Linked DNA regions of Saccharomyces cerevisiae S288C. The protein of the gene in region 1 interacts with the protein of each later gene in a biochemical or structural test. Each region holds a gene or a part of one and is shown on either strand. Other genes may lie near its edges.

Evidence for each region. The genes of interacting proteins can lie anywhere in the genome.
Region 2: of the proteins of MEC1 (region 1) and RAD53, one has a biochemical effect on the other in vitro, tested with the Saccharomyces cerevisiae proteins (10 studies listed by BioGRID).

What each region holds. Positions count from the first base shown.
Region 1 is NC_001134.8:503,657-507,414, reverse strand, and holds the start of MEC1 (protein kinase MEC1), read right to left. Parts: upstream 1,748-3,758; coding exon 1-1,747. Other genes in the region: cyclin-dependent protein kinase regulatory subunit CKS1, read right to left, coding at 2,109-2,561; HSL7 (protein arginine N-methyltransferase), read left to right, coding at 3,128-3,758. UniProt on the Saccharomyces cerevisiae protein: Serine/threonine protein kinase which activates checkpoint signaling upon genotoxic stresses such as ionizing radiation (IR), ultraviolet light (UV), or DNA replication stalling, thereby acting as a DNA damage sensor.
Region 2 is NC_001148.4:262,400-266,157, forward strand, and holds the start of RAD53 (serine/threonine/tyrosine protein kinase RAD53), read right to left. Parts: upstream 1,794-3,758; coding exon 1-1,793. Other genes in the region: YPL152W-A (uncharacterized protein), read left to right, coding at 2,203-2,301; peptidylprolyl isomerase RRD2, read left to right, coding at 2,629-3,705. UniProt on the Saccharomyces cerevisiae protein: Controls S-phase checkpoint as well as G1 and G2 DNA damage checkpoints. Phosphorylates proteins on serine, threonine, and tyrosine. Prevents entry into anaphase and mitotic exit after DNA damage via regulation of the Polo kinase CDC5.

The DNA of each region.
Region 1 (3,758 bases):
ATCTGTTAGAATTCATAAAGCACTTTTGTACCAGTTTAAAGCTCTTATTGATTTGACCGTTTCCATCTGTAAGTTTTGGAGGTTGAAAGTGTGAAAATATCCTATGTAGAGAAAATAAGATGCCACTTAACAAAGATTCGCTAAATTCATCTATATTTGGGTGAGATAGAAAGTTTGAATGAAGTATCCTGAAGATTTCTGATTTACCCGCAGCCTCTGGTCTATTTGGATTTATTCGCACGAAAGGGTTGCCAGTTTTCTCAATATCGCATAAATGACAAACATACCAATTATCCATATCCTTTGTGGAATTTGGCAGAGTGCCGGAAAACTTCTCTGATTCTAGACAGGCTAGACGTCCGAGAATTACAGTCCATGATGTTAGCCTTGTTATATTGTTTGTCTTGAAACAAGTTTGAATGGATACAGATGCTTCATTTAAAATTAGCTTGAAATCGTTTCCAGCTCTTTGAAAAAATCCAGGACTTAGCTGGTTCACGCGGTATTTGAGCAAAGTTCCTCTTTCTGTCTTGTTAAACTTCTTTAGTACTAGCAACCTTAGCTTTTCCAGCTGCTTATATCGATCATCAAAGGGAGAAGTGACATTTTTCAAGCTCGAGTCCGGCTCCGATTGGTATACCCAGATGTTGAACTTATTATCGTACTTTAAAGCTTCAACAGGTAGGGACCTTCTTTTCAAATCAAAATATACAATCGAGAGAGCTTTATTAGTCAACTGCGTGAACGGAAAATGTTCACTTTGTGAAAAATCTGCCCACTGGTCAATTGGGAAGTGGTCTACAAAGCATTTTGAGAAATCGTTAGAAATGCAAAGAGAATATAGTCGAAGAATTCCTTTGGCCATAGTGGGGTCATTATCCAAGAGCCCATACTTGTTATCCAAAAAATGATGCATAGTAGTCAATACAAACTTTAATTGTTCACAACAAACTAACGCTGGGGCATCCAGGGCTGTGGAAATTGTTCTATTGCAAACATAGTCCACAACTAGAGAAATATATTTGAGTTGGATTTCGGCATATTCTAGTGCTGCTAGTTCGCAGGAATCAAAGACGTAAAGAACAATCCTGATTAATCGTTGGAAGTTAAAGTCAAATTTCGTGAACCCCAAAGAAGAATCTAAGAATGCTATAGAGTTCCCAAAAGTACTATACTCCGAAGTGAACCAGTATAAAAGAATGTATAGACCCTTCAAGGTGTCATAAAATTTGAGAAGCTCAGTCTTGCCCAACAAGACTTCAGTCAAGGCCTGTTCGTAAAGATTCATGGTGTTCTCAAAATGTGCAGTAAGCTGAAACTTAGCAGGTTTTCCGTAAAATTCGACACATGCTTTGCACCAGCTGCCTAATTTTCGCCTCATAAACCATATTCTGTGGTAATTATCATAGTTCAGAACGGATATGTTGAGGAAATCATCTATCAGCCTTTGTATCTCAAAGTTCCCGTTGGAATCCTTCATAACAAGCAAGAAGGGGTTGTACTCCAACAATAAGGCAAGGGCGGAAACTGTTTTCGAAAATATAGTATCATTTTTCATGATATTGTTCCTTCTTTGATCTTTTAGGTTTCTTATGAGGGTGTTCAGGATCTTTAAACTCTTGGCGTACTCCTGAGAAGAAGATGGATCCGTGGGCACTTTTTTAATCTGCACCTTTGAATCCACCCCCGAGTTCAGGTCTTTTATTGCCAATATCAATTCGTCAAGATATTTGACGTGTGATTCCATGCAGTCTTGTGGGCCTTTACGCGGTGTATGTCGTTCTTGTTGTCCAGCCTCACTTTGTCTTCATTAATCATCTCTCTTCAAAATTGTCCGTCGGCGGGTATTTTTTTCTAGTTGACTAGTTTTGGAGCGTGCGTTCCATCTATTTGATTTATAAGGGAAAGAAGAAATTTATTTGAAGGATATTCACTATATAAATTTTATTTGTATTCTAATGCTTGTTGGTGAAAACTATGATCCATAGTTTTTTTTTTTTTTGTTTGCTTGTTTGTTTATTCTTTATTATGATAAGTACATAGTATGCTCCATATAGTTATGGAGCCTTGAAAAGGAATTCAATTTCAGTAATTAGAGTATATCAAAGCTAGGAGATTTGGGGTGGAACTTGCATATCGTTCGAAATCGATTGTGTTTGATGTTGCTGTTGTTGTTGTTGCTGCTGTTGCTGCTGTTGCTGTTGCTGTTGAGCAGCAGCGGTCGCTGCCCTCAGCTCGGCCTCGTAGTTCAGCGGCCTTTTGAATAGCAAAATGTGTGGTTCTGGCGCATGGCATTCATAATGTTCCCACCCCAAAGACTGTGTGATGCCGAGGCCTCTCCATTCGTCTTCTGTTAATATACGCAGGGTCCCCACTTCCGAATTGAAGTAATCAGATGGGATAACTTTTAGCATGGCCTTAGGTAACATCACATGCCTGTACTCATAGTTATCGTCTGAGTACCGCGGAGAATAGTGAATGGAATCTTGAAACTCCAACACGCGTGCTCTTTCTTGGTCAGTAAGCTTTCTGCCTTGGAAGGCGTGATAGTGATGGTACATAGTACTGTAAGACGAGAGTAAGTGCGTGTCAATCTAGTTGTATCCAACGCGGCCAGCAGTTCCAAGAACTTACGACAGAGTTGTAATGAATGCTACTGATGTCTGCTCTACTGCCATCCGCTGTCCTTTCATGCATAAAAGCTCCATTCTTTATTTATCTCATACCACGAGAAAAAAAAATCACCTGACATATTTTTATAACCCGCCTTTTAGACCCTAAAACAGATCTCAGGGCTCGAGTACTGTTTTATCTGAAAATTCTTCGAGCCCTCGTTTTGCACTGAGCTAAACCAAAAGAAAAATAAACAATCACAAATGGAACCCGAAACAGCACGCTGCGCAGTGTTTTTATATTTTTTTGAAACAAATGGCTTTATACAATGTGTATGTGTGATAGAAAAAATGGTATATTTCGAGTGACTTGTGATCCTATTCCCAAGCCCTATAGGAGCTATTTCAAATTGCGTGTGTGAAAGCGTGTGTGTGTGTGTGTGTGTGGAATTGTGCGGACGTTCCTCTTCTTTTATACATATAATTTTTATATATACAAAGGGTTCAGTTTGCATATGCATAGCAACGTATTTGTTGGTGTCAAACCAGGCTTTAATCATAAACAGCACAGCAAAAAGTCACGTTTCCTAGAAAATGTCTCTAGTCATTCACCAGAACTGCCTAGTAACTATGATTACGTTTTGCTTCCTATAACAACGCCAAGATATAAGGAAATAGTTGGGCAAGTTTTCAAAGATTTCCAAAGACAATCCATACAGAACTGGAAACCGCTTCAAATTCCTGAACCGCAGTTGCAGGATATCTGTATACCCCCGTTCAACGTCAAGAAGCTAGACAATGACGATACGCCGTCTTACATAGGGCTGTTATCCTCTTGGCTGGAGCTGGAGAGTCGCGATCCAAATGTAAGAGATCTTGGCTTAAAGGTCCTTCTAAACGAATGTAAGTACGCGAGGTTTGTTGGAATCAATAAGCTAATATTGGCGCCTCCACGGGACCTGTCCAACCTGCAATTGTATGGACAGATGATTTACAGGCTCCTGCAAAATCGCATCGTCTTTGCTGCGCCTGCGTTAACCATATCCATTTCTCTGCCACTTTACGAAGACAGCGATCCATTGGCCACTTGGGAACTGTGGAATACCGTGCGGAAACAATGCGAATATCATCCCTCTTTGACTATCT
Region 2 (3,758 bases), on another chromosome or scaffold:
ACACCTTGCTGAATCTCCAGGCTTTCTTGAATAATGCTGTCAGGCAATGGTTTTAAAGTTAAAAACCTACCATTACCCTTTTTCTTTGAGCTCTTGACATTCTCAGTATTATTGGAATGTAAAAGTTTTTGTTCTCTAGTTTCTGCTTCAATGCTTTTGGGCTGTGTATATCGAATAGGGGCGTGTGCGGGTATTTTAAATCCTTGAATTTTTCCATCTTGGTCTTCCTGATCCTGTTCTTGAAGTTGTTGCTCCATTTGTAATTTCCTTTGCGCTTTGACAAATTCGTATTGAGCATCGTCCATATTTTCTAATAATTTCTGCTGCGACAACGATTGTGATAAGGATATTTGTGAAAAATCACCATATGATTGTGAGCCCAATGGACTCATCTTGATCCAGGGATGATTCAAGGCTTTTGCAGCTGTCGACCTATTATTTGGATCCACCTGTAACAATGAATCTATGAAATCTCTTGCTTCTTCAGATATCCGGAAATCTTTGAGGGGCCCTTCATGATATGAGCCTCTTCCAATCTGTTTATATAATTGGTCCTGTGTGCTACCACTAAAAGGTAAGTGGCCCGTTAGGATAACATACACAAGACATCCCATTGACCACATATCCACTAACGAAGAGTACTCATTCCTTTCTTCGTATTCATCAGGAGATACGGATGTATCTTTACCTCTGATGACTTCAGGTGCCACATATGCCAAAGTGCCACAGAAGGTTTTCATAAAAGACCCATTTCCTTGTACTTTTGCCAGACCAAAGTCGGTTATCTTTACCAATACAGGATCGTCTTGTTCAATAAGAATATTATCGGGCTTTAGGTCACGATGGCTGATGCCCATAGAGTGAATGTATTTTATTGCTGTGAGTATCTGCCTGGATATCTCCCTCCCAGCATCTTCTCCAACCGCACCATGAGCAGCAACAAAATCCATTAAGTCACCACCAGAAACGAACTCCATCACCATATAATAACTCTCAGTATCTTCATAAAATCCTTTCAATCGTACTATCCTTGGATGATTGAGCTTTTGCAATACTTCTAACTCTCTTGTCACACCATCCATATTGCCTATTACTTTGCGTTTACTTATAATCTTCACCGCGAATGTTTTCCCAGTAGTTCTTTCAATGGCTTTCTTTACTGTGGCAAATGCACCCTGGCCCACCACTTCGTCAATAATCGAAAAATCCTTAAAAATACCAGTCTTGTTGGCCACCATTGATGATGCAGTAGATGATGTAAGACCAGGAGAAGCTATTTTAGAGGTATTTTTCAGGTTAGATCTTATGCGATCAACTTTGTTCTGCTCGAGGCACTGCTTAAATTTGTCGTTTATGAAAATGACCAGAGATAAAATATCTGATTCCACGCCTACACCAACGGTTATTTCATCACCTTGAGACAGTAACTGATTGCTGTTCTTCTCGACTTTTTGCCCATTTAACCAGGTCCCATTAGTGGAAATGTCATTCAATAAAAGGTTACCGTCTTCTCCTAGTAGTATTTGGAAATGCTTATTTGACAGTCTTGAAATGTTTCCTAAATGATAGTCACAGGCTGGGTTTCTACCAAATGTCCAAACTTTCTTTATGGATCGTTTTTCCTTAAGCACTTGTGAAATATCAGCTGACAAATCTCGGATGGGAATTTGACCCGTGGTACAAATGACCCTGCACACAATGTTTTCGCCGATCTGTTCTTGAGAAAACTTCTCAATCAAAAACCTTTGAGTAGCCTGCGTGGATTGCTGTGTGGGTTGTGTAATATTTTCCATTTTTAGTTGATGTTGTGTAACACTATCTTTTCTCACTATTCTCTCTTTTAAAGCTTAAGAAAATCGAATGCATATACAAAATTAGTTTGTCTTCCAATAATCTCTACCGTCCTTTTCTGCTTTCTTACCTTTTCTTGATCAGAGATTTCAAAATGGTAACTTTGGTACCCTTTATCTTCTCAACCTGTACCTTTATTCTATAAATGTTTTCATTTCCAAGTCTACCCACGGTGATGATTTTTCTGCCAATTTTACGCGTCACTCCCGTTGCCGTATCAACGCGTCCACACCACCTCACCCTCGAAATGAAAATAAATATGTTAATAGATGCACGTTTCATTGACATCTGTGACAAACACTTTCCGGCTTAATTAAAAGGAAGCAGGCTATTAATGCACCAACCAAACAAATGATGGTTCACCTCACGCTGAAATCTCATCTAATAAAGGAAGAATTACTTTGGCATGCTTTATCTCCGTCCTATAGTTGCCGATACCACGGTAGATAATACAGTATCATTCTAAAAGTACCATTTAGGTAGGTGCTGAGCGAACCAATAAGTAAGTTTTTGTTTTTTCTCAGTGTTTGCTTTGAATTTACATTGAAATACGTTGTTTTGGACGTACTACAATAGCCGCCATAATAGATTTTCGGGTAACTTTTACACTCTTCCCTCTCTTTCACGTGAGTAAGCACAGAATAAAATCCTAACGGATGTGATAGAACAAAAGGGATATCAATGACAAGAGAGAGGTACTTTATGTTAGTCGCCTGTGCAGAAAGAACAGTCCATAAACAACAATCCGTAAAGAACAATATAAATATTTAGAAAAAGATGTTGCCAGAAAAGAGACTATTGACTCCAGACGATATGAAACTATGGGAAGAATCCCCAACAAGAGCTCATTTCACTAAATTTATTATAGATTTGGCTGAATCTGTCAAAGGACATGAGAATTCCCAGTACAAAGAACCAATATCGGAGTCAATAAACAGTATGATGAACTTGCTTTCGCAAATAAAAGATATCACTCAGAAGCACCCAGTAATAAAGGATGCAGATAGCTCGAGATTTGGTAAGGTTGAGTTTAGGGACTTTTATGACGAAGTTTCACGGAATTCCAGGAAGATCTTACGTTCCGAATTTCCCTCTCTCACAGATGAGCAGTTGGAACAATTATCGATTTATCTAGATGAATCATGGGGAAATAAAAGAAGAATTGATTATGGTTCAGGTCATGAATTAAATTTCATGTGTTTACTTTATGGACTCTATAGTTATGGAATATTCAATCTTTCAAACGATTCAACTAACCTCGTGCTGAAAGTTTTTATAGAATACCTTAAAATAATGAGGATACTAGAAACTAAATATTGGCTTGAGCCTGCGGGCTCTCATGGTGTTTGGGGATTAGATGATTATCATTTCCTTCCATTTCTATTTGGTGCCTTCCAATTAACCACCCACAAGCACTTAAAGCCGATATCAATTCACAATAATGAGCTCGTAGAAATGTTCGCTCATCGGTACTTATATTTTGGTTGTATCGCTTTTATTAATAAGGTCAAGTCATCCGCCTCCTTGAGATGGCATTCTCCTATGCTAGATGACATCAGCGGTGTAAAGACTTGGTCAAAAGTTGCTGAAGGGATGATAAAAATGTATAAAGCCGAAGTCCTTAGTAAATTGCCCATCATGCAACATTTTTACTTTAGCGAGTTTTTGCCTTGTCCGGATGGTGTATCTCCACCAAGAGGCCACATACATGATGGGACTGATAAGGATGATGAGTGCAATTTTGAAGGACATGTTCATACTACTTGGGGAGACTGCTGTGGTATAAAGTTACCGAGCGCTATTGCGGCTACTGAGATGAATAAAAAACATCATAAACCAATACCTTTTGATTAGGAAAAGTCCATTTATAGATGCTATCTCATTGTATATACACGTATACAGGGTAC